Coturnix japonica: one gene and its partners. The protein of the gene in region 1 purifies or fractionates together with the protein of each later gene. This does not show direct contact. Links are inferred from orthologs where the notes say so. Each region holds a gene or a part of one and is shown in the gene's direction. Other genes may lie near its edges.

Evidence for each region.
Region 2: the proteins of PTPRU (region 1) and GOLIM4 purify together in Homo sapiens (affinity purification with mass spectrometry; 3 studies listed by BioGRID and IntAct, counting the BioPlex papers as one, with this or other methods). This does not show direct contact. The link is inferred for Coturnix japonica from reciprocal best matches to the Homo sapiens genes PTPRU and GOLIM4.
Region 3: the proteins of PTPRU (region 1) and CLGN purify together in Homo sapiens (affinity purification with mass spectrometry; 3 studies listed by BioGRID and IntAct, with this or other methods). This does not show direct contact. The link is inferred for Coturnix japonica from reciprocal best matches to the Homo sapiens genes PTPRU and CLGN.

What each region holds. Positions count from the first base shown.
Region 1 is NC_029538.1:2,489,841-2,493,492, forward strand, and holds part of PTPRU (receptor-type tyrosine-protein phosphatase U), read left to right. Parts: intron 1-249; coding exon 250-279; intron 280-696; coding exon 697-854; intron 855-2,439; coding exon 2,440-2,630; intron 2,631-3,652.
Region 2 is NC_029524.1:18,193,311-18,196,962, forward strand, and holds part of GOLIM4 (Golgi integral membrane protein 4), read left to right. Parts: intron 1-683; coding exon 684-842; intron 843-1,172; coding exon 1,173-1,505; intron 1,506-2,425; coding exon 2,426-2,709; intron 2,710-3,122; coding exon 3,123-3,202; intron 3,203-3,652. UniProt on the Homo sapiens protein: Plays a role in endosome to Golgi protein trafficking; mediates protein transport along the late endosome-bypass pathway from the early endosome to the Golgi.
Region 3 is NC_029519.1:26,014,799-26,018,450, reverse strand, and holds part of CLGN (calmegin), read left to right. Parts: intron 1-617; coding exon 618-810; intron 811-920; coding exon 921-1,110; intron 1,111-1,802; coding exon 1,803-1,916; intron 1,917-2,481; coding exon 2,482-2,638; intron 2,639-3,036; coding exon 3,037-3,252; intron 3,253-3,652. UniProt on the Homo sapiens protein: Functions during spermatogenesis as a chaperone for a range of client proteins that are important for sperm adhesion onto the egg zona pellucida and for subsequent penetration of the zona pellucida.

The sequences.
Region 1 (3,652 bases):
AGGCTTGCTGCCAGAGACAGGGAGGAGCTGCCCTCAGCTTTCATCCCATGACTTGAGGCAGTGCAGAAGGAGGGTGGCTTGTGTGGGTGGGCTGAGAGGATGGGGACCCTTCTGAGATGCTCGTGGTGTGCGGGTGCCTGCCTTTCTGTGCTCTCCTTCCCTGCACGCTGCCCTAGAGCCCCACTTTCTCCATCAAAGAAAAGCTGCTTGTGCAATTTGTGCCGTTCTCTTTGTTTGCACGCTTGCCAGGAGGAACTACTATTCTTACTCCTATTACCCGTAAGTAATTGTCATTCTCTCTCTCCTCCTTCCCTCCTGCCCCCCTTGCTCTGCTGCTCTCCACTCCAACAAGTCCTTTTCTCTGTCAAGTACATCTTAAGGGCCTCTTTGGCTTGGGAAAATAATGCTTCTGAGCTCATTAGGACGGAAGGCAGTGTAAGCAGAAAGGGTCAGATACCCAGCATGGCTGTGCTCCTGCTGAGGTGGCCAATTCTACTTGAGTTCAGGGTTTTGGCAGCATTTTGCAGTGTCTTTTCCCCACTCATGTGAGGTCCTTCAGGTGGTGTGGGCTCAGGGCTGGTCCTGCCCGGGGGGAATAAGCTTTCTTATGGCCCCAAATATACCAAACCTTGGGGAGCTGGTCTGGGGTCTGGCAGTGCTGCTGGTTCATTGCTGTCCTTTTGCATCTCTCTGCAGCAAACCTGTCAACATGACCAAAGCAACAATTAATTACCGCCACGAGAAGACACACATGATGAGTGCCATCGACCGGAGCTTCACGGACCAGAGCACCCTGCAGGAGGATGAGAGGCTGGGGCTGTCCTTCATGGACACCCACAACTACAGCAATCGTGGTAAGGATGGGGAGCTGCAGCATTGCCATTGCTTTAAGTGTCAGAGCAGCTGTATGCCCCGCTTGGCCCTTTGGCTCTGACCACAGCTGTGCACGGCTGTGGGGTTTGTAGGGTTAAAGAGCCACAGCCTTCCTATCAGAGGGAGACTGATAACTGAACACCCACTGGAGTATGCGACTCGGCACTGATTTAGTTGTAAAATAACTCGTTCAGTGCCTCAGTTTCAAACATATGCTAATAACATCTGTTACAGTAACTCCAAGATGCTGCTTTACACACAGCTCTTCTCCACCGATGCTGGATTAATATGATTCCTGGCATTGTCTCGCAGACAGTAGAAGCCCAGAGGGCAAACTTTGCCTCCTTTTAATACATCTGTATAAGCGTATTATTTTTCAGTTACTGTCCTACTGGGGCTCCTCGAAACACTCATAGCCAGGCTGGTTTGTACTGAGATTTTTCTCCATCTTGGAGCTAGAATAGCCAGCCATGCTGTGTTTCTTATGGGAGTGGGGCTGTAGAACTGAATCTTGCTCCCACCTGGGCTGGGGTTGTTGTCCTGCTCTGCTGCTCCCTGTCCCTCTGCTGGTCCTTGCCTCAGTTTTCTTGCATTTAAACAAAGCCAGGAACACTTCTCATAAAGGGTCCTCAGTGTGGGTGACCGTGCAGATCCCAGCCTGCATGGACCTGCTGGCACACTGCAACACCCGCAGTTCTTTTCCTATTAAACTTGTTGGAGAAAGGCTCTGTATGGGCTGCATGAGGAGCCAGAGCTGCCAGCACAAGTGAGAGGCTGATCCTTGCATTAGAGCAGACCCCCCTCGCCCCCAAAAAAAGGCCTGGCAGCTCTGAGCAAGCCAGCATAGGTGGCTTTATAAGTGTTGTTAGGGAAACCACATCCAGGGCTGCACTGACACAGCAGAGCTGCTTGCTGGCACTGTGAGATCTGCAGCAGCCACCTCCTTGGTAGCAGTGAGGAACATCAGTTCTCGTGCAAACCCAAATTTCAGGATCATGTATGCTGGCCGTGCAGCAGCCCTGTGGGGTGAACATAGGTGAGCTGTGCCAGTAATTATATGGCGCTGACATAAGCTGGGTAAAACACTGCGTAAGCTCATGCATTAACCCACAGCAAGTCCCATTTGTGTCAGTGCTAGAAGTAAGAGGATGGTATCCAGCAGTGAGGAAAATTAACCATTAGGCTGGGCTGGGGACTTTGGCAAGGCAGTTCTTTGAGTCAGGACTTTAAGTGAATATTTATGCATGTGGCTCGTACTGGTCTGGATGGGAGGTAAGCGCTTGAATCAATGAGAAATAAGCAGCGAGCCCTCTTAAGATCTTGCCTACTGGTTTCTAAGAGTTGTGCTGTGGTCCTAAGAGGCTGTAATGGCCCTTGTGGGCTTTGGGTTGCAGGAACAGCTGCAGAGAGTATGGTGGGGTCTGGACCACCTTTGTCACTCTGAGAGAGACCAGTGGTGGGGCAGCCCCAACAGACCTTCCTTGTCCTTGCTCTGTGGGTGAGTGGGGCTGATGTGGGAGTAGTGCCTCAGACCCTGATTATCTCCTTATCCCTCCTGGTTTGCAGGTGACCAGCGCAGCAGTGTGGTCAATGAGTCCAGCAGCCTGCTGGGGGGGTCCCCCCGCCGCCAATGTGGTCGCAAAGGGTCCCCATATCACACTGGGCAGCTGCACCCTGCCGTACGTGTGGCTGACCTCCTCCAGCACATCAACCAGATGAAGACAGCAGAAGGCTATGGCTTCAAGCAGGAGTACGAGGTGAGAGCGTTGTGTGCTGTGTTTTGAGGAGGATACGTGGTAGGATGGATGAGGACCCCAGGATGTGGCAAGGTGGTGTACAGGACTCTTGTGCAATAGGATGATGTGGAGCTACAATGATCTGGAAGGAGGGAGCTGGAGATCACAGCTCTCTGAGCTCCCCAGGTCCTTAGGTATCAGCACAGGAGGTGTTCCTGCTTTTTCTGGCTGAGTCTCACTTGAGTTTTTGGCTGCTCTCTATTTAACCAGCAGTTGAAAAGCAAGATGAGCTGAAGCAACTCTGCCAGCCTTGCAGTAGGTCACCCAGCATCTTCTGCTGGTGCTGGGGGGCTCCTTGCTTAGGTCCTACTGACCACTTCCTCCATCTCCAATGGAGATGCATTGGTGAGCATGGACACAGCCTGAAGATGAGCAATTTCTCTGCAAGCTGGCAGCTCCCAGGGCCATGCAGAGGCTGCAGGAAGGGCCATCCCTGCCCTTGTAGGGAAGGCACATCATCCCTGAGGGTCACCACTTACATGGTGCCCTTTCCATCCCATTGGGCTGCAGCTCTTGTAACAGAGTGCAGAATTCTGCACAGCTCTGCTGCAATGCACACGGCCGTGCTGATTTCCCAGCTTCTCGGTGTCCCACAGTTCTAGTGATTGAAATTTCCCAGTGAAATTACTGTTTAATGTTCAGTTGTTTCAAGTGCAGGAGCTTTTTTTTCTTTCCTCCCCCTTTTTCATGTATTGGACAAACCAGGGCTGGCTATAATCATTAGTGCTCCTTGAAAAGCTGCTGTATGTTCTTGGAACCTAGTCATTTGAAAGCACTCAGATATTATGGGAGGGGAGAAAACATGTAATTTCCTTCCACTTTCCTCCTCTTACGCCAATCTATGAATGTTACTGTTATTACATGCAAACCTGTTCTGTGCTGGGGAGAGAAGGGTCTGGGGAGATTTAAATAATAATAAAAAAAAAAAAGAGAAAGAAAAAACAAACTAGGAGGAAAAAACAAACCAAGCAATATGTAATCTG
Region 2 (3,652 bases), on another chromosome or scaffold:
CTATGCCTGTCATATAGGCAGTGACCAGTCCTTACTTCTCATGCTGGTTTTCAAGGCTTGAGAAAAATATTCTGGTCTTATGCAGCATTAAACTGCAAATCAGAATACATCCGACTGTTACAGTTTAGGAAGAGTTAAGAAATTTATATTTGGTCTTTTTTTTTTCCTTTTTCCTTTCACAGAAGGTGTTCTGTAACTTCTCCTTGCCTCAGTTCTGTATCTTGTCTGTTGTCTTTTGTAACACCTGTCTAAATGTTGAGGATTTGGCATTTTCATGATGTGTATATGTACTAAAAGAACTGTGCTGCTTTCTACCAGTAAAGAAGCTGGGGTGCTCTGTTTCCCTTTGCTTTAATCTGCCAAGGAAAATGCATCATCTCCTTGTGACAGTTCTCCTGCTTGGCATGAAAAAAACAAATCTTCACCTTTGTCCTATGGGGATTTTTCCAACAATCTTCTCATGCACGTGCACTTTGGCTGAAAAGATTATGATGAATCAATGCTGTTTAGCGCATGGAAATGACCATTCTTAAAAGGTCTCATCCCTGCTACTTGCTAGTAGTTGCTGTGATGTGAATATTGAGTCTTTCTAGCATATGTCTTGCCAGCAAGCTCACTCTGGCATCGCTACGTTTTATTAAGAAGTTGATTTGGACATGGTGTAATTAATGTGTTGACTTCAGTCCCAGGTGGAGGAATACAAACAGCTGAAGGACACACTGAACAAAATACCAAGTTTCCGCCAATCTGAGAAGTCGGAACCAAACAAAGAACCAGAGGTGCAGGCGCCATCTCCTCACAGTGACCTCCCACAACACCACAGAGCTGGAGAGCATGAAGAGGTATAAAGCGCAGACTTCCTATATGAGCTGTAGGAAATGGTTTCTGTTCAGTAAAATACTAGCTATGTGCTTAACTTCCATTGGAAACATGCATACAGGACTACTTGATGATGCTGTTGTATTGTGTAACAACTTGCTTAGGTATGCAGAGCCAAGAATCAGGTACTGATACCTTCTGGCAGGAAGGGCAGCATGTGCTAAGGCAGCCAGTTGGCTCTCCTGACTACAGTTTCACTACTGCAGGTGGAAATACAGGTATCTGTATCTGGTGCTTAGCTCTCCTGAAAAGATGAAATCCCTAATATCTTGTACTTGTATAATGTTTTCCAGAGTGAGAAGCCAAAAGAGAGAGAAGAAATAAATACCCAGGAGAGAGATGACAGAGCTGAGTCTTTTCATCTACAAAGAAGGGCTAACGAGGGCCAGCATGCCAAAGAACTAAATATTCAGGAGCAACAAGAAGCTGGAGAGGATGACGATCAACGTGTTGATCAGGCTGAAGAGGAACGCAAAAAAGAACTTGAAGAAGAAGAAATGGAGCAGGCAGGTCAGCCTCAGCACTTAGAAGAGGAACAGGACCAAGCACCAGAAGAGCATGAGTGGAAGAAACAGGAACAGAAAGAAGAAGAAACCAACATACTGGGTGAAAGTCTTCCATCAGAGGTATGGAGCGCTTTTCTTACCTACTGGTTGATTAATTCACTGTTTAAATGGAGGCATTGCTCATCTTTTCTGGCCCTGGTACTTCACTTGCCTGTTCCCAGGTAAATTTAGTGTAGCATTTATAGAAAATTTGGGATTCAAAGCACTTACACGCTTAGGATCAGCACATGCTTACTGCTGTGCTTGCCAAATGCAGCTTAATTAACATTAATTCTGCTGATAAAGAGCAACAGGTGGAAGAAAATCATGATGAATCCTGTGTTCTCTTTTAAATTTGAAGCCTGTGGTAGGTAATGGAAAGTAGACAGTTTATGAGCGTGAATTGTAGAATAGCCTGAGCTGGAAGGGAATTGTGATCAGCACTTTGATGAGGAGGTGTTCTGCCATATTAATTTGATCAATCTTAGCAAATTACAGCCTTTCCTTTTCAGATATACCTTCCTTCTATAAGAGCATTTCCAACTCAGTGTTCACTGCCATTTAAGAGGGAATTCAAACTGCAAGGTGAACACAATTAAATCAGGGGAAATCAGTGTGGAGCAGTGGCAAGTCTTGTTCTGTGCAGCTCTATATAAAACCACTGAGTGCTGGATTTATGTTCTAGATCAGATCTCTAATGGAATACAGATTTTACTGATTCCTTTTATATTAATGAGTAGGAAAAATTTCCTGCAGTTTCTTATCTTCTTCACCATGTTCTCCACAAACACCCCTAAAACTCTCAAAGTTTGTTAAAAAAAATTGCTTTGAATTTAAACAAAGACAACAAATAATGAAATAACTTTGTTACAATTTTCTCCGTTGCATATAGGATCTGTATAATTTTCCCACTTATTTTTGGTGTCAGAAGTTTCTTCACATCTGCTTCTGATCACTGAATAATGGGATTTTAACCTGTGACTAAAACATTTCTTTGGCAGGTAACACCAACAAAAGCTGTCACAAAAAGATATAAACCAGCCTACGAACAGCAGCTGGAGCAGCAACAGCTTGCAGCCCAAAGAGCAGAGGAAGCCAATCAGCTCAGGGAACATCAGGAATCGCTGCACCAGCAAAGACTTCAAACGCAGCTATTACGGCAGCAACAGCTTCAAGAAAAAGAGCTTCAGCTACAGAGAGAGGCAGAGCAAGGAGAAAAATTCTATAAGAACCGACTGAGGTTAAAATCTTTTATGTATGTTTGTAATGGACTGGGCATTGCATGGTATGTGCTCTGGGCATTATGACATCCCTCACACCATCACTGAAAAGAGGCAAATCTAATACAAGTCTGGGCTGTCCAGAAATTAAATGAAGTTAGCTTTATATCCCCCTTTCTATGGATAAATATAATGGCTGTTATTCAGAGTGGGGGTTGGTTGGGTTCCCCTTTTACCATGAAAGCCTCTGAAATCTGGAGAAATGAGAGCACACAGGTTAGTATAGGGAGTGCTCATCTTATAATGGGCATTGTCTTTCAGGAAAGGTGATTCTAAAAAGTAGCAGCTAATATAAAGCTAGAGTGTCAAATGTTCTGGCAGGAGTTAGGAGAGACAGAGGTGCAGTATGGTGGTTTGTTTCTTGAAGCTAAAATGCTTTTTGAAGCTGAAGTAATGAATTTGCATTTACTTTTCTCAGTCAGCAGGCTCGTTATGATAACATGGACCATGATATTGTACAAGGGGAAGAAGAGCAAGGTATTCAGGAAGAAGAAGGAGGTAAGGTTCCCTCTGAACTCCCTTCCATAAGGTTTTCATGTTATTTTACATTCAGTTCAGATTCAAATGAAGTATAAACAAAGAAAAAAGAAGCAGTTTAAAACCCCAAGCTCAAGTAACACTGTCAGAACTGACTGAAATACGGGTTTCACTATAAAGATCATATCCATATTTCTGAAAGGTGTCCTTTTGATTAAGCTCCTTGAACTGGACTTTAAGTCTCTGTTACATTTATGGCTTTGCCTTATGATTTTCTTTGATGTCTTCAAATTTAATGATCTTTTAGTGTTAGTTTCCTTCTATAAGTAAAACAGCTCTGTTGGCATTACCTGTTTGGTAAGCTCTTCAGGGAGAAGCTGCCTACTGCTAAGAGCACATATGGAAGCTACTATATGACACTTAAAAGGGCTACCTAGAAACTGCAGTAGTACAATAATATCAAAAATTTGT
Region 3 (3,652 bases), on another chromosome or scaffold:
TTCAAGCGGTTGCTTAAAAACATAGCTTGGTACTGTGCATTCCAAGTAGATAAATTATATAGTTAAAGGAAAAAAAAAGAAAACAACAACTGAAATTTTGGACCAGCTGAATGCAGGATGCTCTGAAGAAAACAAGCTGTTATTTTAAGAATTGCTTATTATTATTTACTGTGGAGCAAGAAAGCAGTGCTAAAATGCTGGGTAATAATACCTTGTTTTTCATTTTTATTGAAATATAAATGGCTGTGAAGAACAGAAACTGTTTCTCTTCCATCTTTTAGTGTAACATGTACAGAAGAGTATGTGTGGCTGTTTTGATTTGTGGCAGGCATTTCAACTTAGTGTAAGGGTAAGGACTTAGTAAGCCCATTCATCTTGTCTGAGGAGGCTTCAGTGATCTCTGTAGTTAGGCTGTTTCAGCAACTCATAACATCTGTTAAATTCTTTTCATGATTTACCCTGCCAGTTTTCAGTGTTAGAATAGAGGCCACGTCAAACACCTCTTAGAAAAATGTAACTGTGTTGTATATATGCCACAATAGCTTGGAAATGCAGTACTCCAAATGACTTGATAAAATGTACAGTTTGACACATGCTTAACTTTTTTACTTCTACAGGAATTCTTTTTTGACAAAACGCCTTATACTATTATGTTTGGACCAGATAAATGTGGTGAAGATTACAAACTACACTTTATCATCAGGCATAAGAATCCTAAAACTGGAGAATATGATGAAAAACATGCAAAACGTCCCGATGTGGACCTAAAGAAGTTCTATCTGGACAAGAAGACACACCTATACACTCTTGGTATTGTTTAGTTTTTACAAGTTTAAACTAATTTTTTAAAATCTCTTCTAATTTAATTAATTAATTAATTAAAGATTAATTGATCTTTAATGTAAATTCCTTCAATGTAGTGCTGAAACCAGATGATACGTTTGAAATGCTGATCGACCAATCAGTCATCAGTAAGGGAAGTCTTCTGGAGGATATGATTCCTCCAATAAACCCTCCCAAAGAAATAGATGATCCTGCTGATAAGAAGCCTGAGGACTGGGATGAGAGACAAAAAATACCTGATCCCAACGCTGTCAAACCAGATGACTGGTAAGGAGAAAGCTTCATCTGTAGAAAACATTTTGTATGCAGGTTATTGCTTTATAATATTTGCTTGGCTTTATTTTGTTGTTTTTCTTGCTCTCAACAGTTGGGATATGTTTTACAAATACTAACAGTTGAAAAAATGTAACTGAAGTGGGAGTGTGAGGATCTGATCATCTTTTAAGGAAAGAAGTAAAATCTTGACTTTTCCTGATTTGAACTTTCTGTTGATGCAATTTGTAACTAAGATCACCGTAGTTGAAGGATTAGGAAGAGTGTTTTTCCACTACTAGTAGAGTCATAGAGTGGATTGGGTTGGAAGGGATGGAAAGACCATCTAGTTCCAACACCCCTGCTGTGGGCAGGGTTGCCACTGCTAGGTCAGATGTTGTACATATACTTCCTTCTTCCTGAAGTACTGTTCATATAGCAGCTTAAACAAAGGAAACATTTTAAGGAGAGACCTGATTGACGCACCTGCCAGTCCATGACAGCTATTTCTGGGCTAACAAGTGCCTTGAAATCTATAGTTTAAATGTTTATAAACGGAGAAGTAGGTACCTAATTCTCATTATAGGCACATCTAACTATGTTGTGCCCTTGAATATTATCCCCTCCATACCAGTTACAGTCCTCTGAACAGAACATTGGTTCAGAGTCGAGCTGATGTATTTCCTAACAGTAGTCTGTAATTGAAGGGATGAAGATGAGCCTTCTAAAATAGAAGATCTTGATGCTGTTAAGCCCGAAGGATGGCTTGATTATGAACCACAGTATGTTCCGGACCCCAATGCAAAAAAGCCGAAGGACTGGTAAGAATTTAATACACGTGGATCTGTTAATGTGCTTTGTAGCTAAGCTTGTTCTCTGGCACATTGAGTAAATTAGAATTTATCCCAGTCCCACTGTCTCTGCCATATTAAGTTGGAACATAACAAGTGTGGCTGAATATTTGTTGATTTGTGAGGCTACCTTTAGAAAAATATGCAAGTGTCAATAATTGCCTTGTATTCTGAAGAGCTGTAAACAGTAAGGAGCTATTTGAAAGAACCTACCATGGGGATAAGCAGCAAAGCAGTTGAAGCTGATGCTTGAAGTCATGTAGTAGTCCTAAAGCATGTTATATGGAAATGATGCAAGCTGCCTGCAGACGTAGGAGTATGATTGCATTTAACCATGCTCTAGTAGTTACGAATGTGTGGCCTTAAAGCATTCAGTCCTCTGGAAAATGTACATTGCAGTTAGATCAGCCCACTGAACTTTAGCCAAATTCTGAGGTTGTTACAGCAAAATACATACGGATCCCAAGTTATACTGAATGTTAGTGTTCTGATCAGACCAACCTGCAATTGGTTATTTGTACCTTTCTTTCTGTAGGGATGAAGAAATGGATGGGGAGTGGGAAGCTCCTCAGGTCCCCAATCCAAAGTGTGCAACTGCACCTGGTTGTGGACTGTGGGTGCGTCCCATGAAGAACAACCCCAAGTATAAAGGAAAATGGAAAGCACCTATGATAGTTAATCCTAATTATCAGGTACTAGCAATATTGTAGGTTATTATTTAAGAGATGTGGAGCTCAACCAAGCAGAAAAGTAAAATTAGTACATATGTCTGGCCCTTCATACTGAACCTGATATGGTCACTTACTACTATAACCCAATATGGAGGAAAAAGGTTTGAATTTAAGAGAAATCTGTCTGTCCTAAGCCAAAAATCTGAGACCTATCTGCCAAAATTCCATAGGTTGTTTCCAGGTCTGTTTTCCTGAAGTTCAGAGGCTTACCCTTTGCTTTTTAAATCATGTAGTTGAAATAATCAGAAAGTCTTAATTGCATTAAAATGTATTTTCCTGTTTTGTTGTGAGTGGGTTTTTTTATGTTTATTTTTGTGGTATAGATAATATTATTACATGTTTTTCTTTCCCCATAAAAGGGAATCTGGAGTCCTCGGAAAATACCTAACCCAGACTATTTTGAAGATCCTCACCCATTTGAGATGACACCTATCAGTGCTATTGGTTTAGAACTCTGGTCTATGACATCTGATATCTACTTTGATAACTTCATAATATGCTCAGAAAAAGAAGTCGCTGATCGTTGGGCAGCAGACGGTTGGGGCTTGAAGAAATTAGTAGCAAGTGCTAATGAGGTATCAATTTTATTATATTCTTGATAACCAGAAGTAGCAAGGAAGGAGTTCTGTTGGAATAATTTTCTGTAATATAATTATTCTGTGATTGATAATCTTACAGAATAGCTATGATATTTCCCTGATCAATACTGGACTGAAATTAAAAGGGTACAACATTTTACTCAAGTATCTTACAAGAAATGTAGCAACATTTCATTGTAGTTGATGCACCTTCCACTATTAATGGTGGTACTACAATTCAGTGCCTGTCAGCAGATGGAAGCTGATTTATTTGCAACCAGGCCTCTTTATATACTTAAAACTTGTCACTTTTGACTTAACTTCTTTTTATGTGCTTCTGATGTGCTCTCCTATCATAAAAAGTGGTTAATAGTCATGTATTTTTGTGTTTAGTAAA